4 linked regions of the Caenorhabditis elegans genome follow. The protein of the gene in region 1 interacts with the protein of each later gene in a pairwise test. Each region holds a gene or a part of one and is shown in the gene's direction. Other genes may lie near its edges. The genes, in order: gldi-8, R06C1.6, ztf-30 and ztf-16.

What was found.
Region 2: the proteins of gldi-8 (region 1) and R06C1.6 interact in a two-hybrid assay, tested with the Caenorhabditis elegans proteins (one large-scale study listed by BioGRID).
Region 3: the proteins of gldi-8 (region 1) and ztf-30 interact in a two-hybrid assay, tested with the Caenorhabditis elegans proteins (one large-scale study listed by BioGRID).
Region 4: the proteins of gldi-8 (region 1) and ztf-16 interact in a two-hybrid assay, tested with the Caenorhabditis elegans proteins (one large-scale study listed by BioGRID).

What each region holds. Positions count from the first base shown.
Region 1 is NC_003281.10:12,594,986-12,601,184, reverse strand, and holds gldi-8 (C2H2-type domain-containing protein), read left to right. Parts: upstream 1-2,500; 5' UTR 2,501-2,656; coding exon 2,657-2,758; exon of another isoform or gene 2,759-3,019; coding exon 3,020-3,250; intron 3,251-3,296; coding exon 3,297-4,019; intron 4,020-4,803; coding exon 4,804-5,040; 3' UTR 5,041-5,191; downstream 5,192-6,199. Other genes in the region: epc-1 (Enhancer of polycomb-like protein), read left to right, coding at 66-295, 645-711.
Region 2 is NC_003279.8:11,944,753-11,953,485, forward strand, and holds R06C1.6 (uncharacterized protein), read left to right. Parts: upstream 1-2,248; 5' UTR 2,249-2,262; coding exon 2,263-2,366; intron 2,367-3,220; exon of another isoform or gene 3,221-3,281; intron 3,282-3,443; coding exon 3,444-3,593; intron 3,594-5,069; exon of another isoform or gene 5,070-5,142; intron 5,143-5,392; coding exon 5,393-5,566; intron 5,567-5,795; coding exon 5,796-6,147; intron 6,148-6,674; coding exon 6,675-7,080; intron 7,081-7,237; exon of another isoform or gene 7,238-7,462; intron 7,463-7,967; coding exon 7,968-8,080; 3' UTR 8,081-8,393; downstream 8,394-8,733.
Region 3 is NC_003281.10:8,594,014-8,599,816, reverse strand, and holds ztf-30 (Zinc finger transcription factor family protein 30), read left to right. Parts: upstream 1-1,946; 5' UTR 1,947-1,973; coding exon 1,974-2,118; intron 2,119-2,196; coding exon 2,197-2,316; intron 2,317-3,112; coding exon 3,113-3,328; intron 3,329-3,376; coding exon 3,377-3,538; intron 3,539-3,584; coding exon 3,585-4,027; intron 4,028-4,073; coding exon 4,074-4,181; 3' UTR 4,182-4,507; downstream 4,508-5,803.
Region 4 is NC_003284.9:4,805,188-4,813,970, reverse strand, and holds ztf-16 (Zinc finger protein ztf-16), read left to right. Parts: upstream 1-2,430; 5' UTR 2,431-2,445; coding exon 2,446-2,518; intron 2,519-2,731; coding exon 2,732-2,787; intron 2,788-3,031; coding exon 3,032-3,176; intron 3,177-3,279; coding exon 3,280-3,371; intron 3,372-3,725; exon of another isoform or gene 3,726-3,863; intron 3,864-4,081; coding exon 4,082-4,150; intron 4,151-4,314; coding exon 4,315-4,404; intron 4,405-4,466; exon of another isoform or gene 4,467-4,607; intron 4,608-5,300; coding exon 5,301-5,525; intron 5,526-5,717; coding exon 5,718-5,897; intron 5,898-5,965; coding exon 5,966-6,091; intron 6,092-6,139; coding exon 6,140-6,343; coding exon of another isoform or gene 6,344-6,427; intron 6,428-7,094; coding exon 7,095-7,277; 3' UTR 7,278-7,973; downstream 7,974-8,783. UniProt on the Caenorhabditis elegans protein: Positively regulates the expression of ver-1 in the amphid sheath glia of amphid sensory neurons. Together with ehn-3, plays a role in somatic gonad development and is required for proper gonadal primordium assembly and somatic gonad precursor cell morphology.

The sequences.
Region 1 (6,199 bases):
ACTTGTCTTGAAAAATCTTGAAAAAAGTCGAATAAATTCCCATTTTCCTATTTTCTTTTTTGCAGATGTGCGGAACGGTGTCGGACTCAGATGATTGGAGAGAGCCGAGTGGATCACCATCAGAATCGAATTCATCAACCGAATGGGGTGGCTATACGCCACAAGAACAGCATGCAGTTGTTGTTGCCAACGCGGTAGCTGTCGCTTTCAAGGAAAAATTGATGAATGGCGTGGATGATGATGATGATCAACAACCATCGCCGGCTAGAGGAGCACGAGATCATTCCATCAAAGAGTTCGTTAGTTTTTCTTTGCTTTTTTTTTTTTTGATTTTTGAGAGCAAATTTGAAAAGTTTTACACGGTTTTTGAAAAACTGTTGAAATTAAAATTTGTTGAGAATTTGATTTCGAGCAAGTTTTATTTTTAAAAAATTGAATTTTTCAGAAAATTCTGAGTTTTCTTTTTAAAAAATTGAAATTTTCAGAAAATTCTGAGTAGCAAGAATCTTTAAGATCCTTAATTTCTATGCAAGAATACGTAGGAGTTTTACTTTGCTCAGGAAATTTTATTTTTTGTCAGAGGAGTATATCCGAAAAAGAACAAAAAAAATGCACATTTCTCAAAACGCGTATTTTTTTTTCAGTTCGATGTCAACGGTAACACTGCTGGAACGGAAAAAGTTCATGATGCCGTCGACAATCGGTCTATAATTTGAACTCTCTGCTGCTGCTTCTGCTACTGCTGCTACTGCTGCTCATCGCCAATTTTCAATCCTCCTGAGATTTTTTGATGGTCATTCATTGTTTTGTGCATATCTCTCTCTCTCTCTCTCTCTCCCATGATTCTCAAATATTTCAATGTATTTACACCCCCACTCTGTCCGCTGCCTAATCCCCGACCGAATAATCAGATTCGCTGGAAAAATCTGCGATTCTTTAATATTGCAACCACCCACCCAATAATATGTGTCTCATCATCTCGGTACTCTCACTTGAGCCGTGTTTTCTGTAGTATTTTATTCTCTAAAAAAAAATCATTTTTAATATAATATACGTACACATTTATATCTGTAATATATATTTTTAAAAATGATTCCCCCCTCCCCTCCATTCGTTGTTTTTTTTCTGTGGGTTTCAAGCTTTTGAGCTGTGAAAAATCTCATCCCATCATCATTTTCTATTGTTTTTTTTCACAGTTGAAATATCCTATTTTATCTTTTTCCTTTTTTTTTCATTTTTTTTTTTTCATCGTGCGGGATTCATTTTTCGTCCCGCGAAACGCCCGCCGCCGCCCAATCCCACTCTCTCTCTCAGTCTCTTCTTAATGATCTTCGAAACTATTTTTATTTCCCTCATTAACAATTACGAGGTCGTCTTTTTTTTTCCCCACCCCCCACTGTTTGGTGTAATTTTTGTGTTCGGGGAGGTTTTTTGTGTGTGGATTTTTGGATTTTTTGGATTTTTTCAACAAAAAATTCCCCCGAAATCAAAATTTTTTCCCATTTTCCCCTCAATATTAGTACTGTTGTATAAATAAACTTGCTCTCTCTCTCTCTCTCGAAATCTCCTACTATTATTTTTTTAAAAGATTTTTCCAACAAAAATTCAAAAAACCACACAAACGACCTCTCTGCACGCGGTAATCCTCTCTCTTTTTGTCCCCCATTTTCTCTGTTTCTCTTTTTTTCTATCCCCTATACCTGTGATTGGAATATCCCATTTTTCCAGCAACAAACCAGCAAAAACAAAAAAAAAAAACTTGAAGAATTTCAAAAAAAAAATGACAAAAAAATCATAAAAATCAAAAGAACCTACATTTTTGTTGCATTTTATAGACACACACACGCACACACACAAGCAAACAGACATAAAAATTCAAATTTTTCGAAAAATTAAAAAAAAAAAAAAATTTCCCTCCCAAGGCCACCTGGGCGCCAAAAAGATAGTGGGTGGCCATGAAAAGTGCAATACTTTTTTGAAATAAAAAATAGTGTGAATATCGGAGAGACGCAGAGAAGAAAGGTCGAAAAAGTGAAAAAAGAAGAATTCTTTGTTCCCTTTCGTTTTTCCAATCCAATTGAATAGGACTTTGAGATTACTGTAGTCCAAAACTAAGGTCCCCGGGGGTCTCGACACGAAAATTGTTTTTGTTAAATGCGGAAAAAGGTATGCGCCTTTAAGGAGTACTGTAGTTTCAAAAAATTTGGTTTTTTCTCCAAAAACAGTTTTAAAAAAATCGAATTTTTTTCTTTCTCCAGTCTAAAAATGTGTTTTTAAAGGTGCACAATATTTTTCAGATGGGTATCGGCGCGCAAAAAAAGTTAATGGTAATAGTTTCTTCAAAATTATATGCGGTTTTCAGAGAAATTTTGAGTTTTTCTTTTAATTATATCAAATATTTGGACGAAAATTTAAAGGATTAATGCACAGATCCATTTTTTCTTCCTTTTTTTACTAGAAAAACTATGTAAAATTTTTTTTTTAAATCGCAATTTTCTCCAGGTATACGGTAAGCAAGTCCGCAAACACCGAAGCATTGCTGCACGCGTCGCACGACCGCGACGCGTCTCCCCCCTCTTTCGTCACGCGCTCATCGATTTTCGAAGTGAACACACAACCAGTTTCGTCAATTTTCTGCGCTATTTCTTCATTTTTAATGGAGATTTACGATTATCCAATGTCGTACGCTGATTTAACTCCTGTGACAAGCTGCTCATCATCGTCAAATTCTGAAGCGGACGCTAACAACTTTTCAACGGTTATCCTTTATTAAAAAATGTCAAATTTCTTTAAAAATGGCTTTTTTTTCGATCAAATCTTGTGTTTTTTCGGCAAACACTATTCGAAGCCATTGGGTGTGTCAGTGACAATGTTTATCCTCGAACAAAAATGTAATTAAACCAATTAAACCAACCAAAAAAACTAAACTCAAACTTGGGAAAATTAAACCTACTCAGATGCTTTATGCTGAGGTCTTCTCACTACCGCCGACCAATTTTACTTATTTTTTTATTTTCAGAAGAACAAAAATGTCAATGAATTCCAAAAACTCATTGAAGAATTGGAATTTGAGCCGGAAGACCGAAGAGTTCCCGAGGTAGCTGAAGAAGTTGAATCCGAAGACGAGGAAGAGGAAGATGTCCAAATCAAGTATCCTTACGAACGGAAAGACGCTTATCAAGACCTCCAAGAAAGGATCGAGCGCAGGCTAAACGATTCTGGAGATGAGAAGCTTGAGCAGAAGGCGAAGGTAAGATTATTTTTTTTTAATTTGCAACTGAAACTTTTTATTCCAGGAACTTCAATCGCTTATCCGAATGAGCCAATCACAATGGAAAGTCGAGCAAAAGCAACAGCTGGAAGATTCTCTGTTGAAGCCACACACTGCTGGATCGATTTTCACTTGCGTTATGTGCTCGAAAGCATTCCCGAACGCTGAAGCTCTCCAGATTCACACTGATCAAGTGCATGATTTGTCTAGATTAAAGCATCGTTGTAAGCTGTGCGGAAAAGCTTATAAGCGCAAGAAGAACCTTGATGCTCATATGGCCCTCCATCTCAAGGAAATCCAATGCGACAACTGCTCACTGGTCTTTCAATCTGAAAAATCGTTGCAAAGTCACATAATCCGGCATCATCAAGAGGATGCGGATGAACTTGAAGTATGGAAGGCGCCGTGCTCGATTTGCAAGGAGCTATTCCCATCAACATCTGTCAAAACTCACGAATGGTACTGCAAGAATAGGGAGAAAATTATTGAAAAACAGCGAGTATCGAAGATTCTGAAAGTACAAAGTTTGCCGTCAAGCCCAGCTCTTTCCACCGTCAGTTATGCATCATTCTCAAGCTGTCAGCCTGGGCCAATCACAAGCCCAGTCTCCTATAGGGATAAATCGTGTCAAGTGTGTGGAGAGAGCTTCGCGAGCCGACAATCAATGCTCCGGCATGTTGGTAGAAAACATCCAGATGCCAAGAACGATCCAAATGTCACGGCTGTGAGATACATTAGCGCTGAATCGGTAAGGATAAGAATTTAAAGGTGGACTACGCTCAGTGGGGAAATTGCTTTAAAACACGACTATGGTACCACAATGACCGAATATCATGATAAAAAATTCTAGATTTTATATTATTTTTTGAAAATTGAAAAAATCTCGAATTGCATCAAATTCCCATTTAAACCTCCCGCCAAGTGATTTTATCGATGGAGCGCGCTTGCTCGTTTTTATTTTAATTTATTGTTATTTTTTCTTATTTTTCGCCGATTTTTCATGTTTTCAGTGTAATTTTATGAGAAATTTGAAGAAAAAGTCAAAATAATGCAAATTCTCGATTAAAAATCAACTTTGCAAGCGTAAAAACGAAGAAGTACCACTTTTAAACGATTTGGAGCCAGTAGTATTTGATTTCACAGATTTACGCTTGTAAAGTTGATTTTTAATCGAGAATTTGCATTATTTTGGCTTTTTCTTCAAATTTCTCATAAAAATACACTGAAAACATGAAAAATCGGCGAAAAATAAGAAAAAATAACAATAAATTAAAATAAAAACGAGCAAGCGCGCTCCATCGATAAAATCACTTGGCGGGAAGTTTAAATGGGAAATTGATGCAATTCGAGATTTTTTTTCAATTTTCAAAAAATCATATAAAATTTTTAATTTTTTTTTTGAATTTTTTTTATCATGATATTCGGTCATTGTGACCCCATAGGCATGTTTTAAAGCAATTTCCCCACTGTCGCTACTCCACCTTTAATGAATGAAAATTTAAAATTAATGAATTAAAATTTAAAATTTTCAGCCCAAGCATCCATATGCTTGCATTGAATGCGGAAAACGATTCACAACGGTCACCGCTTTGTCAACACACAAGGCTCGTGTTCATTCACAATCCAATCGCTTTGAATGCACAATTTGCCACAAATCCTATCCGGTTCCATCAGAATTGAGGAAGCACATCAAAAGAGTTCATGAGAAGGATGCGCCCAAATCTCGATCAGCATTGGAAGAATTACCGGAAATGGACGATATTTTCTAAATTTCTCTAGATTCAAATGTTCAAGATTTTGCTGTAATTTTCCCACCTCCCCCCCCCCCTTTATTTTCAAAATACCGGTCCGAACGGGTTCCAACCGAGTTTACTAGATATTCATGTAGAGATTTCAACACAATAAATGAATTAAAATGCGTGAAGCCTATTCCTCTGCAAATTAATTCCAGCCAGCGGATTTCAAGCTTGATGACATTGAAAAATATTGGGTAGTTGTCTCACCGAGAACAGGCCTAGTTTTACGAACAGGCTTAATATTAGGATTAGGCTTTGGCTTAGAATTAGGCTTAGGCTTGATTTCAGGCTTTGACTAAAGCTTAGGTTTGGGCTTAGGCTTGTGCTTTGGCTTAGGCTTTGGTTTTGGCTTTTTTTTTTTTTTGGCTTAGCTAACGCTCCCCCACTGACGCTATGTAGAGATTTTTCATATATTTTATTAAAATCAGGGCTTCGCCCCGATTTTAATAAAATATATGAAACCCTCTTAAAAAGTTACAAGAAGGTTTTTCCTTGCGCTTGGAGCGCAAAAGAAAAGAAAAAGAGCTATTTAGACTTAGGGTGCCCAACTGGAATAAAATATAGGAAATCCTTATGACACACCGGCGGTATGGCGCGGCTTAAGCCTAAATAGCCACTTTTATCAAAATACATTTGAGCGAGGCGGCTGTAAACTATTCGTTCTTTAGCAAAAATTAAAAAAAAAACTTTATTTAAATTTAAAAATAAATATCATATGTTATCACACCTTAGAATATCACGCCTTAATTTAGTAATCATTTTTACTTCATAAATGTGAGAGAAAGAAAAATGGATTAATCATCGGAATTAAATATCATCAGAGTGATTATATTCATCAAAGGTCCCACTCTACTGGAGGGTTAATTTGGTTGATATAAAATTCCTATCTCATGTAAAGAAAGGTTCGAATTCTGTACCTATGACACACTTAAGCCTAAAGGCCCGAAAAACATACTAGGATGCCCAACTGGAATAAAATATTGGAAATCCTTATGACACACCGGCGGTATGGCGCGGCTTAAGCCTAAATAGCCACTTTTATCAAAATACATTTGAGCTCGTCTTGCGTTTTACTTTGACTTCTCAGGCAACTCAAAAGTAATCTGTGGATATTTTTCAGTAATCTAAATGA
Region 2 (8,733 bases), on another chromosome or scaffold:
CATATCCCGTTTTCGTTTTTTGGTAAATTTACAAATTTTCCAAACGAGCAAAACTTTAAAACTTGAAAACTTATCGAGAAAAGTTTAACTGATGAAGTATTGCTCATGATTTCGTCTACTTGTATTCAATTGTTTAAGTTGTTTACCAGTGTAACGACAAAAAATACAACGGCCGACATCTCGTGAGCCCGTTTTTGACAACTTTTACTGATTTGGCCGTATCTCGAAAACTAAATTGTTTCAGGAAATGTTGTTATAGGAAAATAGTCTTCAGACTATTTGTCATCGTTTGTGTCTATTCACTTTGTTCTGAAAAATCCAGCAAAAAAGTTATGGGATTGCAAACTTGTCGCTCACTAGGTGCCACCTACCCACTACACCCAAAAATCAGGCTACTTAGTTCAAAATATTTTTTTCGAGCATTTTCTAGAAATAACACATGTAAAATTACAATTAAGCTATATTCAAACACAATATCAAGATTCAGGAAAAAAATTCATCGTTTGCGAGAAATGTTCGAGGCGTGGCCGTACACTATTCAAGTTTGCACTCCCATAACTTTTTTGTAGGATTTTTGAGAACAAAGTGAATAGGCACAAACGATGACAAATAGTATGAAGATTATTTTACTCTAACAACATTTGCAGAAAAAATTTCGTTTTCGAGATACGGCCGAATCAGTAAACGTTGTCAAAAATGAGCTCACGAGATGTCGGCCGCTGTATTTTTTGTCCTGGCACTGGTAAAAAATTTTAACAATTGAATACAAGTAGACGAAATCATGGGCAATACTTCATCAGTTAAACTTTTTTCGATAACATTTCTAGTTTTAAAGTTGTGCTCGTTTGTAAAATTTGTAAATTTATCAAAAATCGAAAATGGGATATGTTTTTGGCCGGCACTGTATGTCGATTTTTCTACCGTTCAATTTTTCTAGTTTTCTCGTAAAAATGAGTCATTTTTTATTAATCTTTTGCTGTAATACGTTTTCACCCACATCGCACCAGAAATTGCTAATTTCCGGCAAAAAAAAAATTCGAAAAAAAAAACGGAAATTTGAAACAGTTTAATAAAAAAAATTTCCCCAAAATGGGAAACTTTATTTATTCTCCCTTATTTTTATTTTATTTTCCAAATATTCTCCACAAAGAGATGATGATAATCAAGACGTCATCAAAACATATTCGGAAGCTCCGCGAGCACATGTGAGCTCTCGCTGGTGGCTCCGCCCATTTTCCCTCTCCAAAAGAGATCAGTTGCTCAACTGAGAGCTTATCACTGCTCCTTTTCTCTGCCCCTTTTGCCTTGTTGCTCGCGGAGCTCTGAGTTTTTTTTTCTTGCCCAGTTTTTGTTATATAAGATTTATTGGAGGCAAAATTTCATTTTCTTGTACTTTTTTATATGCTCAATAACACAATTTCCACATAAAATTTTCTACATGTCAAAAGAAAAAGTTTGGCGGCCGACATCTTGCGGGACCATATTTGAATATCAGATTTTTAGACTCGTGAAGTGCCGGCCGCTTTTTGCATTTTTAGAATTAAAAAATAAATAAACTTTCGTATTTATGAAGTCCACTGTAAAGTGTTTTCTAAAAAATGAATTGCGGCCGACATCTCGCGGGTACATTTTTGATAACGGGTTTTCTGACTATTAGCCCAGTGAGGTGTCGGCTGCTGTAACTTTTTTCAGAGTAGCGGTGAAAAAATTGATACTGAACTAATGAATTGTAGCAATTTTTATGCTTAAAATGACCAAAATTTTGAAACAAACTAAAGCGGCCGACACCTCGCGGGCCCACATTCATTTTTGTGCCCGTGAGATGTCAGCTGCCGCAACTTTTTTCAACGTGATACCAAAAAATAGTGGTCAACTAACAAATTGTAGCAATTTTCATGCTTAACATGATCATATCACAAAATTTAAAAAAATCAAGCAGCCGACATTTTGCGAGCCCATCTTTGAAAATTATTTTCTAGGCCTGTGAAGTGTCGGCTGCTAATTAAAAGCGTATATTTAGATTGTTGCCAACTTTATCTAGAAACGTCAATTCAAAATCATTCTAACAGAAGCCGTGAAAGAAATCTTAAAGTTTGAGGCCCGGCGGTGCCTTGCCACAAAAAAACTTGTTTCCCTCCATAGGGTTTCCCATATTTTCTGTCTATTTTTTTTTCTTATTTGAATTTCTAATCTTTGTTGCTGTCTTTTCGTCTCTATATAGGCTCTAATTAACATGAACTTTTTTTAGTACTTGGGCTCCTAATGATATCCATTGAAAGTTTATCGCAACAGCAAGCCGTCGGACCGCCCATGATGTTAAACGGGGGAAATGAGCACGGAGCAGAAGCCATGAGTTTTGGAAGAGGGTAAGTGAAAAATAATGAAAAGTTGTGAGCGGCCGACACCTCACGGTTCATATTTCAAATTTCAAAATTCAACAAATTTGACCCATGAGGTGTTGGCGGCTGTAACGCTGTTTAGGGTTGATTTAGAAAAAAGTATTCGAGTACAAAAATGTAGAGAATATTATGGAAAACATTTTTTTTTGTTTAAAACTTTTCTCCAAATCATCCCTGGATAAGATTCAGCGGCGACAGACACCTCACGGGTTTTCCCGATTTTCGAATTTTGTCCAGTGAGGTGTCGGCTGCTTTGACTATTTTCAAAGTTTAGTTGGAGCTAAGTGTAGAATTACAAAAATATTTAGTTTTACATAAGCTACATTTTTCCAGTTTAACCAGTTTTCTGATTAATCTCTGAAAAAAGTTATAGCGGCCGACACCTCACGGTTTTCCTATTGCTGAATTTTGGCCCGCGAAGTGTCTGCCGCTATAACTTCGTTCAGGGTCGACTTAGAAGAAAGTTTTCAACTACAAACATGTGGCAAATGTTGTATTGAGCATTTTTTCAGTTTAAAAGGTTTTTAGTTTTTGAGTTATGTATGACAGTTCTACCGAAATTAGATTTAAAAAAATATTTTTCTGCACCAAATTTTTGTAATTGTGGAGCTTCAATATTTCCGCCAGGATTACAGTTACAAAAAAGTTGTTAACTAACAAAATGTAAAGCTTAAATTTTTCTACAATTTGTCTCTTGACAACTTTTTGATAGCTCTTACCCCTGTAAAGATAGAGCGCAGACAGTGAGAGCACCTCTTACCCAACTCATCCGTGACGCTTAATATTTTCAAACTGTCATAACTCTTTAATGGTTAGAAATACAAAAAAGTTGTCAACTAGTAAAATGTTAAGCTAATATTTTTCTATATTTTGTTAGTTAACAACTTTTAAATATCTCTCACCACTGGGGAGAGAGCGTAGACAGTGAGAGTACGTGACGGCGGTCTCAAAAATTCCTCTAAAGACAATTTTTATATTAAACAAATTAAATATAAAACTCATAATCAATAAAACTCAATAAAACAACATTATTTCCATTTCCAGAATATCCAACGATCTTCCCACAGCATACGTGACGTCAACACCGCTTCCGTTGGCCAAAGCACAGCAGCAACAACAACATGAGCAACAGCTTCATCATCTCCCAGGCTATCATTCCGCAGGGCAGTCGAGAGTGATGAGTGAAGAGGAAAAGTATGTGCTTCTTGTATTAATGATTTCGATGGGAACTGGGGAGGTGAATGGGTGTTAATTAGATACATGTTTTGGTGCCACCCAACTGATTGTGAGCAGAAAAACTCATAAAACTCATTGGAATTTAGAGGGGTTTGTTAAAAGTTGGTTGCTCAATATTGGAAATTAGGCTTTGGCTCAGGCTTATATCTAGGCTTATTAGGTTTAGTCTTAGGCTTAAGTTTAGGTTTAGGCTAAGGCTTAGGAATAGGCTCAGGCTTAGTCTTAGGTTTAGTCTTAGGCTTAGGAATAGGTTAAGCTTAGGCGTAGGCTTAAGCTCATGCTTAGGCTTAGTCTTACATTTAGGCGTAGGCTTAGGCTTAGGCATAGGCTTAGGCTTATGCTTCATTATTGGAATTTTTAAGAACGTCGAATTTCGATAAATTAAAAATGTTTTTGGCGAATTTACAAGTGAATTTAAATTTTTTTTCCAGGATAATGAATGGTTTTTTCTTTAAAAAATTTCAATTTTCAGTTGAAAATCTTCAATTTAAATGTTAGAATTCAGATATTTAGGTTTCATAAATCAGGTTGAAATGTAGTTTTTTATACATAACAATTTAAAAGTAACAGATTTCTGAAAAAAAATTTTGGAATTTTTCGAAATTAGAAAAAATATATTCTAAAAAATCTTAGAAATTTTATCCCGCCCAGGAAGTGATTTAAACTTTGTCAGAAACTTTTTCACAACAATAATTTTTATATAAAAAAATGTTGAATGCACACACATCGGCCTATTTTTTCAAATTTTGCCTTCTTAACTCTCAAGTGCACGCCAAAGTGTCGTCGTCATTCTCAAGCCTTCCCGACTGAAAAAAAAACAAATTTCTAGGCTTCTAAATATACTCCACACACCCTGGGAGTAAGTTTTTTTTGTATTTTTTGACAACAAAGTTCCCAAGTTTCCTACATTCCCTCAGACACCCTCTCAGCTATACTTGCACATTGAAAATAATAGGCTAAAGCTGTCCGGTTGCCCCTGGCAATGAATAACTGATAATTTGGAAAAGGGCGTTGTAGGTGTGAGAAAGTTGGCAAAATCACGTGAAATCGCGTGACAAAGAGGGGTCTGGGAATCTCTATAGGCTAAAGTTTGACAATGTTTATTCTGTCACCTGAAGTTTGATATACTTGCACATTTTGGAGCCCCATAGCTTTGTATTTTTGTATTTCTTATAGGTCCTGGCTTTTCTCGTATAAATCCAACCAGATTCTAGTTTTCTGACCAACTACACATAATATTCGCATCTGAGCCACCAAGTCACATGGTGCTCGGAAAAATACGGCTTTACCTCTTAGAAGCCCCTTTAGATTAGTTGGAATCGATTCCCAGCAGCCAAGCTATTTTTGAATTTGAAGAGAATTTCATGCTGATTATTTTTGGACTAGGCTTAGGTTTAAGGGCTTGGGTTTTGGCTTAGGCTTTAGGCTTACTATTAGGCTTAGGCTTAGGCTTAAGCTTAAGCTTCGGCTTAGGCTTAGGCTCAAGCTCAGGCTTAGGCTGAGGCTTTTGGAATAGCATTAAGCCCACACTGCATACGAGAGAGAAAGAGGCAGACAACCAGACGCTCTGCATCTCTGCGTCTCTCTTCCCCTCTCACTCTCTAGCCATCCATTTTCAAACGCCTGAATCTCTGCGGTGGTAAGAGATATTAAAAATTTTCAAATTGAGGAAATCCTCTAAATTCCTTTTTCTATAATTTTGGTTAACATTAAAATTGTATTCCGAATTAAAGTCGAGAAAATGAGAAAATTTACAGCGAACGCGAGAAGCACGCAAAAATCTCGGTGCTCTTTGAAGAAATCCGAATAGAAGCTGCGAATATGCTCAATGGGACGATGAACGCCAATATCAAGCAGGAAGACAACGAAGATCAACCGACAGCACTGAGTGACTCGGCTCCGGTTTCGATAAACAAGAAGCTCAAGAAACGGTAAGCGGGCTCTTTTCGTAGGTCCTAATAATTTTAATGGTAGTTTAAAGTAGGAAAACACTTTTGAAGCTTTTTCGCAAAAAATTAAAGTTTCCAAAAAGCTCCAAGCAGACCTGTCTAAGCATCACTGAGCATTGTAAAAATTATCAAAATTCTGTAAAATACCTCTGTAAGCCGGAGAAAAGTCGACTACAATCTGCTCACATTATTCAATTTCCATAACTTTCAGCAAAAGCGAGTTGGCCCTGGAAATGACCGCCGATGAGGTAGACGACATCCTCGGAGACTCCACCAACTCCAGCTTCAACCCGAAAAACCCATTCGGAGGACCATCCCCGTCCGGTTTCCCAGACCTCGGATCCCCGGGATCTTCCAACTATAACCCGGCGAGCCAAAAGTCATCTCCACCACTCTCAAAGTATTCACAGAATAATCAGGGTCAGCGGAACTCTCCACCAAATCATGGATATCCGAATATGTCGCCATACATGACGTCTCAAATGAATTCCCCGATGCATCCACAACTTCAGCAGCAGAACTCGTTGACATCGTCGCCACCGGTTTCTATGCATTCGCCAGTGGTAGGATTTATATTTCATTCGACGCAAAATTTTCCGCTGATAATTTTTGCCTCTTGCCGCGTATTTCTAGCTTTAACAGCAGCAGAGATATAAAGCCTTGAAGATGGAGCTCTAGAGAGAGAGAGGACGCTCTGTCTGTCTGCGTCTCCGTGCAGCTTTTATCCCGAATATCTCGACTGCTATTAGAGACATTGAAAATTTTCCAAATTTTCTGCTCTATCATTTTTCAGCTTTATGCTTAAGCTTAGGCTTAGGCTTTGGCGGAGCTTAGGCTTAGGCGTAGGCTTAGGCCTATTATTGGGCTTCGGCTTAGACTTAGGCTTATTATTGGGCTTAGACTCAGGCTCACGGTTTGGCTTAGGCTTGGGCTGAGGCTTAGGCTTAGGTTTAGGTTTAGGCTCAAGTTTAGGTTTAGGCTTAGGCTTAGGCTTAAGGGGTCGCAACCTCAAACCTCCATATCCCCCTATCATATGAGATATCAAAAAACTTCCAACTTACCCAGTACTTAGAATTTCAAGATTTTTCAGTCCCAAGACTTCAAGTCAACTATAATAAACGGTCACGTCATGGGAGCCCACCACCATCATCTTCCCCATCACACCCGCTTCCTTCAACATCAACAAAGTGCTCCGAACCTTCGCCTCGGAACTCAAACCCCCGAGGAAGCGCTTCCTTATCAAATCAGCGGAATCACTCCGCCGGCCCGCCCGTTCGACAGATCTTTGGTCGAGGAATTTGAGATGTGTGTTCGTGCAGTTCTAATGGCTTCTCATCGTGTCTATTGTCGACATGTCTATCGTCAATTAACTGCTGAAGTCTCGGAGTTGTATGCCAGAGTTGCGAAGAATCAGGTGCCGAAGAAAGCCGTCAAGAAGATCATTGCCGCCCGGCAACCGGCAACGCCTGGAGAACGGATCGAGTTGGAGAGACAGTGTAAGTACAGTGGGGCGCGTTTGACTTCTGCTTCTTTTTTGAATTTCCCACCAGCCAGATTTCAGATTCTCGCGCCAAAATTCATTCTCAGAACATCGGTCGCAATCGCGCTCCACCGTGATTTTGTTGAACAATTTGTTCACGTGGTGTCAGAGTGTCGCATGTCGGCTTGATCTACGTAGATCTAAAAAAAATGCGGGAGAAGAGACGCAGAGTTTTCGACTGATGTTAATGATTAAGAACGTGCTGACGTCACATTTGTTTGGACAAAAAATTCCCGCATTTTTGTAGATCAAACCGTGATGGGACAGCGCGGCACCACGTGAAAAAGCCAAAAATCAATATTTTCCGAGATAATTTTTGAAATTCTCGCCGACCGTGAGTTCGGTAGAGCGCGTTTGAAAAACCCACAAAATTTCGAACTTCCCAGTTTAATGTTGATTTTGTTGGGCCATAAAATTAGAAACTAAAAATAAAATGTTCACTGAAAACTTTCAAAGTCAATTGGAGCGCAATTGCAATATTTTGTGGCGGGAAATTCCAATTTTTGCTAATTTTCCACTTTTTTGCGGAAAATTCGTGGAATTTTTGAATTCCCCGTTTTAGTCGCAAAGTCTAATAGAGCGCGCTTGCAAAGTACACTTACAGCGGGAAATTTGAATTTTTCAATGGAAAATTCCAGAATTTTCAAATATTCGGCGACCGCCTGGCGAAGTTCAATAGAGCGCGTTTACTGGAAATTTGAATTTTTCGGTTTTAAAAGTGTCTAAAATTCGAATTTCCCGCCGCACGCCCACGAGTTCAATAGAGCGCGCTTGCAAAACAATCCGATGGCGGGAAATTCGAATTTTCCAGTGAAAAACCTCCCAATTTTTTCAATTTTTCAGTCAAATGCCTTGCCGACGGCCTGGAATCTCGTCAATCTCCACAACTCTACGAATCAATTCTCAACTTTTTGTACAAAATGCGCGTCGCAATTCCAGACGTCGCTCAGCAATAAATTTTTTTCAAAAAAAATTCATTTTTCCTCCAAGTCTTCCTCTCATTTTCAGCTCGAAGATCTCTCTTGTTTTTTGGTCTGGAAATTTCTTTGAAAATCTCAAATTTGTATCACTACAGTAACTCCCCAATGATGTTCCTTTAAACTAGTCTACTGTAGTTGTCTTGTCTCCGTCTCTCACTCTCTCTCGGCCCGCAAATACAGCTTGTGATGCATAAAATCTCTTCTTAATCCGATAATTGTTATTCACCCCCGATGCTTGAAAAATTATCATATTTTTAATCTTAATAATATTAATAAATGTAAATTAAATCATAAAAAATTTTTTTTTGGAAAATCGAAAAATTTCGATTTTTTTTAGAAAACTCGAAATTATTCAATTTTTTTTCGGTTTTTTTAAAATTTTTTAGAAATTAAAAAAATCCGGAAATTGTTTTTGCTTCAGAAAAATATGTAAAAATAGAAAAAAAATATTTTTTCAATTTTTTCAAATTTTTTAAGAGAAAATCGGGCAAAATTTGATATTTTTTTAAAATAAAAAATTCTCGGAATTTGGTTTTTTTAACGATTTTTTGGTATTTTTTACATAATTTCTTGGTTTTTTGAATTTTTTCGATTTTTTGGTTTTTTTTTCAAAATTTTTCGTATTTTGG
Region 3 (5,803 bases), 4.0 Mb from region 1:
AAATTCGCTCATCAAATCTGGGAAGCGGCTTAAAACCAATTGAAGCAAGGATCATCTTGTCGATGGGCAGGATATACCATCCGAGTATCCGCCTATTTTTTTTCATTCGGGCCAACTTTTTTTTGCTGTTAATGAAAACTAATACGGAAAACTTTTCAGGAACACTAGTGAATATGGTGTCATTTCAGAGGTGTCAACTTTTTTCCAGAAAAAGGAAAGTTCCAAATTAGTAGTTTGTGAACTTCTATCACTCTGAAATGGAAATGTTTCCTTCTGCTAATTTTAAGGATGTATTTTAACAAGTAGCAACCCAACTGCCGGAGCTTATGTGTTCGAAATAATTCAGAACCCATTCCCCACTGCCTTCACATGCTTACAATTTATTGAGATTTTCTCCCCAATTCTAGCACATTTTTTTTCCAAATTCTTTACTTCCACTTCATCTCACCTAGCTTCTCCTGGAAACCTTACGTCATTCCTCTAGTCTGTATCTCTTATTCTTCTATACTTTCTCATCTTCTCCGGTTTGACCTAGTCTTTGCGTATTGACACTTTCGTCTTATTCCCTTCAATCCATTGCCGTCCGTCTTCATCTTTTTTCCGTCTTAGCCGTCTTGGTGACGATGGATAATTAGCGGAAAGGATAGGTGTATTGACAGTTTGACCTTGTATAGTTCATAGTCACGGGTTGCAACATTTCGGTGCCACGTCATTAGGCTTATTACAAGTGCCTAGTTTTAATCTAATGTTTATGGTCTCTTTTTGGGATATGGGAACCAAGTAAACTGAAATTTGCACGGCTTTTTCATTTGTTAAATCTAGAAAAAAGTCCCTAAAGATGTGCCTTTTTTGCAAACACTCCCCCGCGATTAAACTTTAAACCTACTTAGTTTTCTTATGCAAAATCCATCATTAAACCTTTTTTGCTTCACTTTCTTAGAAACAACTTGTCCGACGATTTTGAAGTACAAACCATAAACTTTCTTCGAAGGATTTTCTTTGGATTTTAAAAACAGGTCTCTCAAAAAAGATTAGAAGATTATGCTTTAAGATTTGCCCAGATGATCAAACAATGGCTGATGAAATTTTTAAATCTAGCTGTTTTAACCATTTCATAAATTTCAAAACAAGAGACTATGTCAAAACTTGAATACACTAATAATAGTCCAACATGACCAGCATTTTTTAGAGTTTTCTAAAAACTCCAGAGATTGTCTTTTTAGAGTCTCCTAAAATAAGTGAATACTGACAAATTGCCATTTATTGGCTACTCAACGTTCACACTAAGTTCTTCTTTTTTCTACGAAAGAGTTCAAAATTAAAAAACGTCTTCTAAATAATGGAGCAAAGAGTCACAGTTTGGAAAAGCCTCCAAACAAGTTATTCTTGGAAACTGTTGCCCCAAAAATTCTGTAAATATATTAGGTACGCGAAACCAGGCAATAATGTTGAAAGATAATACTACGATTGCTGATTTCAAGCTCCTCCGATTTACTTTTAAAATTTGAAGCTTCTCACACACACGTTCTCATAAAATTCCCGTGCTCCTGCTGCTCCAAAACATTGAATGCAATGATTCATTCGTTATCTGAGTTAATCTACCGTATCCTTGCAGCACATTCTATTTTAGAAATTCAAGTCATTCTTGTAAAATGATCTGGATTTGGGATTACATGACATACACTAAAAAGAGAATGGATCATTCTTACCGTCAGCGTCATTGATCTGGATGCCTGTAGTTAAGCTTTTTTTATTACTTTTTGCATCTTTCTTCTTCCTCCTCCGTCATCATAATGGCCTTTTGCCTGCACACATTGAAAAGTGCCTATGTGCTCAAAATGCTATGAGCTCACACATCTTTTCTTTCATTCGATTTTCAGATTTTTTACTTCCTCATTTTATCTGCCTTTGTATTGTTTCATGTGTCTTCATGTTTCATGATTCAGCTCAAAATCATGCATCTTGAAATGGATATGAAGCTGGAAGACGATAAAATTCATTCACCCACAAATACAGAGGAGGAAGGTTACGGTAGTGACGTGGAGGTTGAGAATGGAACTGATATCAGTGGATCCAAAGGTGGAAGTGGTGTTGAGTTAAAACGACCCGATTTAAAAGGTTTGTAAGTTCTGGGAATTGTTATTAGTCCACCAAATCTGATTAGGTTCTTACTTTTATAATGATTCTGAATTTCAGGTTCGTTCCGTTGCTCAATCTGTTCAAAAGTTTTCTGTCATTCTTCAAGTCTCTCCCGCCACCGTATGCAGGCTCACTTCAAAAGCTACAAATGCACAGTATGCCGAAAAGATATCTCAAGTAAGTCGGAAGTTATTTATTTTTTATTGACAATGAGGTGATCTTCCGAGCATTAAGAAAAATCCTCAATCACAGATTTTTCGAAATTGAAAGAAAGATAATCATGACATTTGATACAAGAATGAGCTGCACATTTGAGCTGAAAAGCTGCTGGAGACAAAAATATGAAATAGAATGAAAACTTGTTCGATCAGGGACTCAGAGAGCTTTTGCTACAAAAATGTATTAAGCTCCAGTACATCTTTTGATTTGATCTCCTCATTTCCCGGGTTTAGCAGGGATACTGTAGAACATTTTGCAGAGCAAAATTGTGCAGTGCAAAACCACTGCTATATTTTAAAGCATCCACCTATAATATTTGAACAAGCATATTGTTTACACCTGAATTGTTTATCACATGAAACACCGCAAGAAACTCGTTTTTATTGTTGTTCGGGTATAAGCATCTGTATGAACAATTATTGTTTACTATCCATCCACTCTCCGGAGAAAGATTCCTCTTGATCTCATTCAATTTTCACTGTTTCTTCATTCTCCGGACGATTGAGGTCATCCGGAGAAATACGAAATAGTGGAGACGCAGACGCAAACACAGTTCTCACTTTTCGAGAACGGGGACAATTGAATGAGGTTGCGCAATGGATGAGAGTGGGGGCAGAAGGGAAAAAAGTGGAGGATTGGAGCGAAATTGTAAGGGGTCAAATAATGGCTTTGGGATAAGTAGACAAACTTTATAGGAGTACTGTATTTGAATTGGGGACTTTGAATAATAATAAAAAACTATTGTAATTTGCAGGTAGTGAATCTCTTCGTACTCATATGTTCAAGCAACATCATATCTCTCGAATGTACATGTGCCGTTGCTGTAATTGGGCTTTTCCTGATAAATCACTTCTTCATATTCATCTACAAACTGCCACTAACAACAATGACAGCAACAACAATAATAATAGTGTCATTCCTCATGGAGTTATCAACAGAAGCTGCCACCTCATTACAGATCCATTCCAGTGTAAGACTATCAGATATGAGATGAACATAAAAAGATTATTGATTTCAGTAATCCGTACTCCACTTCTAAATCTACCAACCCCACAATCCCTTGAATCATCAGTACCTTCTCTTCCAATTGCAAGCATCCCAATCCCTGCTCTTCAATCGCCTATTCGATCTCAACCTCAGACACCTTCATGGCTTGCAAATCTTCCAAAACCCATACCTAGTAAGTTACATACAAAATATTTGTAATGCTTATGATAATATTTCAGCTACGGCACCAATATTTGTAGCAGATTCAAAAGAAAAAATAAAAGATGAAGTGGAGAAGCCCGATGTGTATACTTCACAGTCACCAACTTGCTCATCAGTCAGCTTCAAGTCTGATCTTAGTGCATTCCATCAGTTGTGTTCTGATCGTGCTCTTATATCATCTCCATTGATTGATACAGCTTCACCATCCTCATCATCTTCTTCTTCAAGGATCAGTCCACGTCATGAATGCTTCGACTGCCACGTCAGCAGGACAAAGATATTGATTTCTGAAAATAAATGCAAACTGTTGGAACACAAAATTGGTACGATGCAACAAGAAAGTTTAGAAGCAAATGCCCAAATGAATGGATTGGAACAAACTGTGCTCAGATTGAGAATGGAAGCACACGCGCTCCGTGAGCACAATGAGCTATTCCAAAGGAAATTGTTAGAGTGTCAGGTAAGATTTCAGATCAGAAAGAAGTATTTCAAAATTATTTTTTCAGAATCTTGCCGTGAAATTTCTTCAAAATGACAAAGCTCACGACGCCTCGGAAATGAATTCATTTCTTCGAATTCTCATAAATAACACAATTTTGACACGTCCTTTTTAGAATTATCTTTTTTCCAAATTTCTCTGAAACCTCAAACTTCGCAAGCTTTACTATCATGTTAATATTGTTTCATTTTTGGAGATTTCTCATAATTTTCGCAATATTTTTTACCAATCTCAGAACTATATTTTTTAACTTATTTCTTCCTGTTTGCGGGATTTTTTGCTTTTTATTTCCAAAACAAATATTAAACAAACAAATCAAAATCATCCGATCCGTTGTGTTCCTTCTGTGTCTCCATCTCCATAATTCTCAGTGCTTACGTTGAATATACATAATTGTAATATAATAATAATACATACTTGATATAAATTTAAATGCTGTATTCTACGTTTCTTCCAGGAAATAACTGAAACTGATCAGAGAAAGTCAAGAAAGTAAAAAAACAGTATAGAAAGTTGAATAATGTGTGTTCCAGAATTTTTGGTACTCTTTCAAAAAAAATTTTTTTTGAAAAATACATTTACAAAAGACGTAAACGGATTTCTTATCCAGAATAAACAAATAACTAAATAAATCCTCTGCCAAATATCCATGGTAACTGAAATCTGAGAAAGCTCATTTCTTAGCTCTTTAATTCCAACAAAAAATCGATGTCCATTTTCACTTAAAGCGACCCAAAAATACCAAATTTAGTCATGAGCCTCTACCAATATCCTGAGCTCTGTTTTTTTTAATGTTAAACTCTGTTTCAGCTAAATTCTCAAATTTCGCAAAGTCAGTTTTCATCAAATTATTATTTTTCATAGCAATTTTGTCATTATTTTGTGGGTTGTTTCGTTGATGTGCTGATAGGTGCTCACATTGAACATTGTCATTGCTGTCAAAATTTGACCATTTCAGGAAAAAAAAACTTGACGAATTTGGAGCATTGTTAATTTATCTAGGAAAATTAAAACAATAGAGTATGGGGGTAGAAAAATTAAATAGTATTGAGAAACATTTTCAGACGACGCTGTCAGAGTTATGAAATCAATTCAAATTGCTATTAACATGTTTGATGAACTTGTCTGAACAAGTTTTCAAAATACATACAAAATACAATACATATTCTGTTTAAAAGTTAAAAAAAACATAATAATTTGAGATACTGTGGTATTACGGGACTGTATGGATTTGGTAACCGTGCTGTAAGTTTAGTACAGTTAGGTACGGTAGGGGATCTTTGGAATACCAGACAAGCAGACTATGTTTCTAGTCTTTCATTTTTATCTTCCTATTCCTCCGGCATGCAAAAAATTCCAGTTCCTTGTTACTCCACGTACGTAAGATCGAAATGATGCTGATTATTGATACGACTCTACGAATATGTTTGTTTTATTCATGTCACTTGTTGCAACGCCCTTTTTTCTTCAAATTTATTGAAACGCCCTTTCCTTATCAAAACATACGTTTTTCGATAAAGTGATAAGCTGTACTCCGGAACACACACAAAATACATATTTTGAGCCATACAATTTCTAAAACCAGAGTAAAATTTAGATTCATTGAAAATTTGCTCAATGGAACAGATGAACAAACATAGACAATCATTATTTTATTTTATTTACAATTGATGTCCCTACAGTATTACTGTCCATTGTATTCTTTTATTCTTGTTCGATTTCTTCGATTTCAATATA
Region 4 (8,783 bases), on another chromosome or scaffold:
TGTACTTTTTGTGAATTTGGTGCTCTCATAACTCATTAAAGATCAAAACAAATTGAAAACATGAAAATTAAAATCAATTTCGGAACTAAAATCTTCGTGACACTGTAGATGTTTGACTTGATCATACGTTCAGACGAAACAACAAAACATACAGGAAGAAGACACATATGCAAGCATTCACACCTTCTCCTAACATCCTTGTCTTCTAATTTTGTAACATTTCCGAACGGACAAAAAACCACAGAGATAATGTTAGAATGATATATAATCCTTGGAAAACCACGAGATCGTCAAAATCACTTGTTCTCCCTCCAATTTTTTATCTACATTTGACGTTTTCCCAAATGTTCATCCAATTGTAATTCCACATGCCTTATCTATTGGAAGGTCATTACTATGTTCCAGACGCTCTTCTCACTGCCACAAAAAACCGGGTTTTTTTCTCCATCGTAAGGAGGAGACATAGTGCGGAGAGGGAGGAAGTCTCCCTGCTGCAGCTAGTATGGTCTGAAAAGATCCCGTCGTCTTCACTTTAACCTTGCCGACCTTCTAGGCCACCCGCAACGGCATCCCCTCTCCCCCAGTGCCTTCTCTCCAATTTTTTCATTCTCTTTCTTCCGAACGAAACGGTGTGAGTGTGTGTGTGTGTGTGGGGGTGGGCGCTGCGTTTTTCTGATGAGGTGCGCGCAGCTCGATTTTTTCTTTACATCTTGCGCCCCCGGGCGACAGATAGAGATGATGCCCGTTGCTGCCTGCCGCCACTGCCGCTGCTGCTGCCATCGACAGTTTCTTCTTCTACATCGTTTTTCTTCTTTTTTCTTCATCGTATTCCCAAAAAAGCTTGTTTGGCACCCCGCGACACACGCACTATCTCACCCCCTTTCTCTCTTCTTGTAAATGCCATTCAGAAACCGTCACCTCCTCCCCCCCTCGATCCCCGCCATCTCATTTTTTCATTGCCATCCGCGTAAAGTCGTTTTTCCGCCCTGCCACCCCCAGGTGTAATCCGCCCCATATCAGTTTGCCAGCTTTTGCACTTTTAGTTCTACCGTATCCAATGCCTGCGGTGCCCCACCCCCAGAGATTCCTTCACTCCATATTTGCTCCCCACCATTCCTCACACCCCAAATTTCTCTTCCTATCCTAGAACCTAAAACATAGAACCTAGATTTATGTATCGCAATCTTACCGTTCTCCTCCGCAAACGTAACGTCATACTAGATGCGAGTTTGCTCTCCAGTCACTTCACCCATCTCAATTACCTGTTAGCACCATCTGTCCATCTAGACCACCTTCCTGCTAGTCTCGAACTTGTAGTGGTGGTTACGCGCAATTGACAGTAATCCAGTATAGACACACAGCCATGCAATCATCAACATAATTGTGCTATAATCCACCTGGCATTACTTTGCCTTCCTTGAGATCCTGTTCTTTTTTCTCAGGTTCCTGAATCTTATTTTTGTGCTGGTTTCAGATTTTGATCATTGAAAATTTTCATTTTATAACATTTTTACCCTATCCACCCAATCCATCAAATCTCTTTTTCGTGTTTATGATGCAAATTTTGTGTAATAGTATATATGTTTTGATGTTTCGTATCTTACACACCATGTCTGGATGCGATAATTAATCCATATTAGTTCCTCCTGTTTTTTTTAATGTTCATCAACTTTTTTTTCTTATTGCTCCTCGTAAAGGTCCGTAAGATACCTACTGCCCAGCGAATACACACTTTACCACTTCTCTTACAAATATAGTAAGCACACAGTAGCTCGTCGCTATGAGTGCAAGTCAAATCCGGAGAAGCAGCTTATGGAGTACACGGGGAGGCATCGGGTTGAGATGTTTGGCCAAACCCGGAAACCGTATCTCGGTCCTTCTTCGCCTCCGCCGCCGCGAGACGACAAACAACTAGGCGAGGTCACCTAGCTGCTCTCAAAACCGTGGACCAGGCTCTCGCTAAATCAAACACACTCATAACAAGTCCAACTCGCAGTGGTTGCTAAAGAAGCTGGCTATCCATAAATTACTGCCTACTCCCCAAATTCGTATCCAGGCGCGTAACCAGTAATTTGGCGAGCCGTTGTAAATGCTTGTCAATGTGATCATACCTATGGATCCGGCTCCTCCTTTTCCCCCTCCTCCGCTTTTTTCGCTCCGATAATACATATTTTTCCAGTCACTCTTAGTATTTCCATTTTCCAATTTTCCCATATATTCCTATATCCGCCTGTTACCATTTCCTATACATTTCCTTTCTTATCTTCTGCCATCCGTAAACACACCTGATTATTGTGTGCAAGTCTCGTCGTGCCATATTCCTCGCTTTTTTCCCCTATTTTTCCTCGTTGTTCTTCTTTTTGTCGCCCATTTTCGTCTCATTACCAGATATTCCCTGTCAGGGTTTTTCATTTTGCTATGGTTATCATTTCAGTGATCTCAACAATGGATGAACTGAACGCTTGCACAGAATGCGGATTCACGACTACTGTATTTTCCGAGTTTCAAGGACATATAGGTAACCAACCTGTTCGGTGATACATGAATGCCAATTCGTTTGAAACATCCACCTACCCGCGCTTTGTCCATCTTTTTTTCATCTTAGAACGGAGACAAACCCGTAAAAATTCGGATTTGTAGCGGTTTAGTGAGCGCTTCAACCCATTAACTAACCCGCTTCTATTGCGTTTCACATTTAGCAACATTACCCCCTAATACTTTTTTTTTGCAGAGAAGCACGAAAACGAGCACAGCAGGTCTTCAAGCGGAGAAATGTCTAACTCGCAGGTATGTTATGGGAGAGTAAAATTCATCCAGAAGAGTGAGAGCGTGTGAGTGAGAGATATAGAAAAAAGGTTGCGTCATAATGCCATATTTGCCTAATTAGTGCCAGAGGTAGAGAAGATATGTGAGGGAACAACAGAACGTGGAAAAAATGAAGAGGGGAGGGATGTTGGATGTGACGTTGTAACACGTCTTCCAGACATGCCCCCTGAGACTCGTTAGAAACATTGAGACCAAGGCTTTTCAGACAATCGAGTGGGGAGATGGTATTCAGTCGTCCACGCCGTCGCCACGGTCCACGCCCCCTTCAGATCCAACGCCGAGTCCGGACTCGGATGAACATCTTGAACATCACATTTCGATAACAGAAATCACAAACACTCTCATCAAAAGTAAGTTTTCTTTGAATTGCATTTTCTTACACACTGGAATGTATTTCTATTGATGGTTAATTACCAAGTACCAATATGCAATTGTGAAACCTAAAAATTTCAGAAGAACCAGGCACCAAAGGACAAAAGACGGTTCACGTTTGCCCGCACTGTAATTTCACCACTTGTATGTCGCAACACATGAAAAGCCACTTGGTAGGTTCAAGGATTTTTACCCGTTTTCTTGAAAGCATTCTCTTGTTCTATAGGTGACGGAAGAGTGAAAGATACTTTCAGTACATTATTACGCATGTTCCCAAGGGTACAAATTAATTTTAGCATGTAAATCTGTTGATGGATATGAAAGTCTTTTCAATTTCCCTCTTTTCCACTTTTCATCAATTCCTTGTAAGGTGGGTCCTGTAAGTCAACACTCCGTGAACCTTTTCTCTTCTCCCACTCGCTCCATGCCGCTTTTCTCACAAACTACTGTTTACTTTCTATCTACTGTCCAGTTAACTGCGTCTCTCACTTGACCCTACTGTTTTTTGTTCCGACGGCCAATCCCATCACTTCCCGAACGGTCATCGGGATGAGTAGTAGTGGAGTGGTATGGGAGAAGGAGGCAGGCTCCTCATATATTGGCTTTTCTTCTTAAGGATGTTGCCTTTCATGTGAGCCGGTGTCATACTAATTGGTTAAGGCAGAATCTTCCGAGAAACCAAACCAAAAAAAACATAGATTTTCCCTTTTTCGGTTATGTAGTGACATCAAGCGGTAGAGATTGGGATGGGTGGAAGAAGATGGGAGGAAAAAGAGGCGTTTTTGGAAAAAGAAACGGGAAGACCAGATACGGGGGCAGTACAAAAAACGTGATGACCTTAGAAATCACATGACATACCAGTGAAGATTCTTGAACATTTCAGGAAGCGCATGAACGCCATCAAGGCCAAATGTACCAATGCGACATCTGTAAAATGCAGTTCAGCCAGAAGGTGAGCAATTTTTAAAACATTTTCTGAATCGGAATCTGGTTTTCAAACACTCGACAACTTTTGAATCATTTGGATTTTCCAAGTATGGTTATCGTGCTGATTGATCTTCTTCTTTGATTCCCTTTTCACTTTCTTCCTGTGGTTTATCAATGTTGCGTTTTCAGGCTAACATGCATCGTCATCGGATGCGCCACAGCGGTGTGAAGCCATACGAGTGTCGTTTTTGCAAAAAACGATTTTTCAGGAAAGATCAGGTATGCTTGTCTGGCATATTTTTTATTACCCTCCACCTCCTAGCCCCACCATTTAACGGCTGTTGCGTAAGAAGCCGCTGCCGCCTTCCGTAACTCAAAAATCGTGTTTTATCTTCAATTTACGTAATCAAATGGAAAGTGAAACTGATCTCCCGTAAGGAAAGGGAAATTGAGGGAAGAAGGAGGCGGCGGATTGCCGCCTGAAGGTCGTTTTCAATTTGGATATTTTCACTTTCCCGGAAATAAGAAGAGTCTCTTCCATGGATGGCAGGGAACTGCCGCAGTGCCCATCAACCATTTCTTCAAGCGCTCTGATGATATCTGTTTGCCCAAAACCGTTCTTGAAGGTCGACGAGCCTGAAGAAAACAGGAAAATCGGGGGGAACCAATTTGACGGTATTGGTGTCAGGTTATGCCGTCGAATATGAAAACGGTTGGCGCGTCTTTCTTCTCCGATTCTTCATACTATCCGACGACGTTGGTGAAGATGAGAAGTAAAAGACCTTGACGATAGCACGCGCATTTTCTTCGGAAGATCCTACCTCCCATCCTACCTTCTAGCATCTTCTCGATGTCTCCATATTTTTGCCGCTCTTTACTGTGTACCTTACCCCCAGGGCCAATCAGTAAAAAAAAGAAGAAATACCAACCGTCGGCGGTTTTTTTTTTGTTCTAGCTGCGTCTCTGATTGGTTCCCGAAAAGTTGAAAGCCATCACCCTCGCTCGCATCAAAAGGGGTTTTTATAATGAAAGACAAAGGTTGCGGGGCGAGGAGAAAACCAGAGAAAATTGTAAATTGTAATATTGTGTGAAAGTGAAAACCGATTTTTAGATGTTAAAAACATACCGTAGTCATGTTTTAAACATGTAACTTAAAATAAACCTATAACTTTCAGATGCAAGAGCATTCAATGACACATATCAAAACGGGTTTTGGTTTCGACTGTCCAGTATCACAATGTAACATGCAGTTTAGTCAGCACAATGCACTCCGAGCACACTTGGAAGAAACGCACACAATTTCGTCAACAAATCCCGCGTCATGTAAGCGATGTAATTTGATGTTCGCCAATTCGCGACGTCTTCTCCTTCATTTCCAGACAAGACATGACGATTCTGAGGTAAGAGATGTAACTTCAGATTACACGGAAACGTAACACATGATTAGCGAGCAGAACCTGAGCCTTATTAGGTGATGTTTTTCTCGTTCTCGGAGCTTAATTCGGTTGCCCCAAGAGACGCACTTTCCGTGGAATCTCTCTCATCATGTGATATCCTGAACGTGAACTCTTATTTCTCATTCTGATTTTCAGTCTTCTCCGAAAAAAGAAAACACGCCAAAAAGGAAGAAGCTGTCGAATGGAAATGCTTTGCCAATGGATCCTGCGAACATGAGCATAACAGAACAGTTGCAAAGAATGGTGAAATCAGAGTTTAGCCCTCCAAACACCGACACCTCCGATAACTCCACAAGTTCTGAATTCGACAAAATTGTAAGAATCTTTCTTTCGTTTCTTTTTGAATAAAAAGCATTTCCATGATTCCATGGTTTTATTTTCAGCCACCAAGCTTCCCTATGGCTAACCCAGATATTTTGTTGATGTGTCTAAACCAAATGAACCAGTTCAATGGATTCGGAGAAAACATCCCAAGACCAATGCTCAACATTCCAAATATTCCATTGCCGGTATCAATGAAACCTTCACACTTTCGCTAATTAACCTTTGCATTTCAGGCTCTTCACAACATTCCAGCAGTGGCAGCGATTGTGAAGCAGGATCAGGTGCAACTCTGGTCAGAGCAGACGTCAAGCTCTGTGAGTGTCAGTGCTCCAAGTCCGAGTGAACAGTCGCACTCGCCGCCAGCCAATGAGTCATCACTTTCGTTAACTGAAAAAGAGAAATCACCGACTCCCGAAAAAGAAGACGAGGAGAATGTGGTATGTGTTATCGCTAATAACAACTTGTTATTGAAAATGTCACCATTTTGTTTACCTTTTTTCGAAGTGCAATTAGAATTGTGAGCATCGTCAACAGAGTTTTTTTTTCCAAAAATTGGGACTTTTGATCCATTTCTTTGTTGATGCCAAAATTTGGTTTTATCAACCTTAAAAACATAGACTGATTAAATGATTGCCAATTTGTTGCAACTTTCGGAACGTTCTCATTTGAGAAAAAATCTAAAAAAAGAGATAGAAAAACCGAACATTACACCATGTATAGTTTGATGAGGAGGTTTTCAATTTCTCGTAGATGTCACAAGTTTTCTTTGAAATCTGAAGGATGATGGATTCTCTACATCACCCACCTTATCAGAACTATCAACTTTCTCTTCCGAAATTTGAATTTAAAGGAAAACTATAGGTTTTAGGTATTTTGAACATTTTGCAATGAGACTTCTCAAAAAATTTCAAAAAAAAAGAGTTAATTTTAGCTAAAAGCCCGGCCTTTGCCTTTTCCGGTTCGCAGCAGCTGATACCATTCAAAAAAAAGTTCGGACTGCTGCAGTTTTTAGCTAGAATTTGGCAGGTTTTTTCAAAAATTCAAATTTCGATTAAAAAAAACTTTTTAAAAAGTTTCTGTTAGAAACTTCATTGCAAAGCTCGTTAATTCGTGCGCTTTCTGTATATATACTCAAAACACTCATAACCGTTACTCATTTAATGGCATCTAACTCTAGAATTATTTTAGGAATGCTGTCATTGCGGAATGATGTTCTACGACAACACAATGTACCTGCTCCATAAAAGTCTTCACTCGGACGGTGATCCTTTCAAATGCGCATTGTGCGGAACTCAGTGCGGCGAGAAGTACATGTTCACTACTCATGTCATTTTTGCCGATCATAGTACTCAAGCAACGACTTCCGCCTGAATTCACCATCATCCAAGAAATATCCCCCCGATTGCCTTTCAGTTTTAGTAGTCAGTCTAGCGAATCCAAAACACCCCCATTCTTTCATCCACATTTTAATTTTTGTTTTTTTTTTCGGTTTTCTTCGGTTTTTTTCGATGCATATTCACAGTCAATTCTGATTACCTCTTTATTTGTCACTTTCTTTCTTCATAACAGGGAAACAACGAATGATTCTGCTTCTTCTCATTGATTCTCAACAGCTCTTTGTCTCTATCAAAAGTATTTGCCCCGTGTTTTTGTCTATTTCTCATCAATATTAAACCATCAAATATCATTATTTACATTTTTAAAAACTTTCTTCATCTTCTCCTGATTCTGCTCTCTATCTTGTTTCAATTCATTTGCACACGTGTCAAAAGTCATTTTGGACCCGTTAATTTTTTCCGTAACCTTGCATTGTTAGGTTTTTGTTGTTAGTGTTTTATTTTCCTTTCTCACCACCACCCCTCATCAAAATTTGTACAATTTCAATGATTTCTTCGAATGTATTTTAAACTAGTGAACTTCAACTGATATTCAGAATTTTTGAAGGCCTCCTTATCTGTTCCACCCATCCCAAACATTTCTTTCCGATTAGAATAGTAATTTTATCAAGCTTTCTCTCTGTCCCACTGTCCCATCAATTTTCTTCCCATTTCAAAATAAATTTTGTTGAAAACATACTGGAGAATAGAATACTAGAAAAAAGTCATGGTGGCTAGGAAAACGGCTAAATGGATTGGCAGGCAGTCTGTGATTGACATTGGCCCAGCGTATATGGTTATGAGTCGTGTGCTGCTCACTACGGACAATCCGGTTCAGTTGGGCAGTGTCCCACGGGGACTTGCCAAGAACCCAATGCATCAACATTGTGCTCTGCAGGACCAACAATAGTGGCTCTCTTTCTCATATTTTTGTCAAGATTAGCGACTACTAGATCAGTTTTATTTATAGCCATTTGTAAGGACATTTGAACTATTTATGGGTTGTTGTTTTATTTCAAACTGCATCTATATTTGTTAGCAGATTGATAAAAAGTAGAACTATCACAACACAAATTGCAGGTGCCTTTCGTCAGTTATCTGACAGAACATGATTGAGAAACACGGTTGGCGAAGTTTCCAGTTTTTGCCATATTTTTTTTACAATTTCGCATTAAACCTAAAAATTCATGTTTATTCACATAATTTGATGAATGAAAAATTAGCTTGCTGGATTCTGAAATTTTGCAATTTTTTCCTCACAATTTTATGCACAAAAAATTTTCAAAAAATTTTGTTGAATATATTTTTTGAACTATAAACAAATGTTACATTTTTACATTTTATGAATTTTAAAAATTCAGAAAACAATAAAAACAAAAATTCCGGTGCTTTTTAAAATATCGTTTTATGAATATTCAGTTTGATAATTTCCAGGAATTACTATTTTTTTTAATTAAATTTTTTAATCTCAAAGACGGAAGTGTAAAAAATTGTTTTAAAA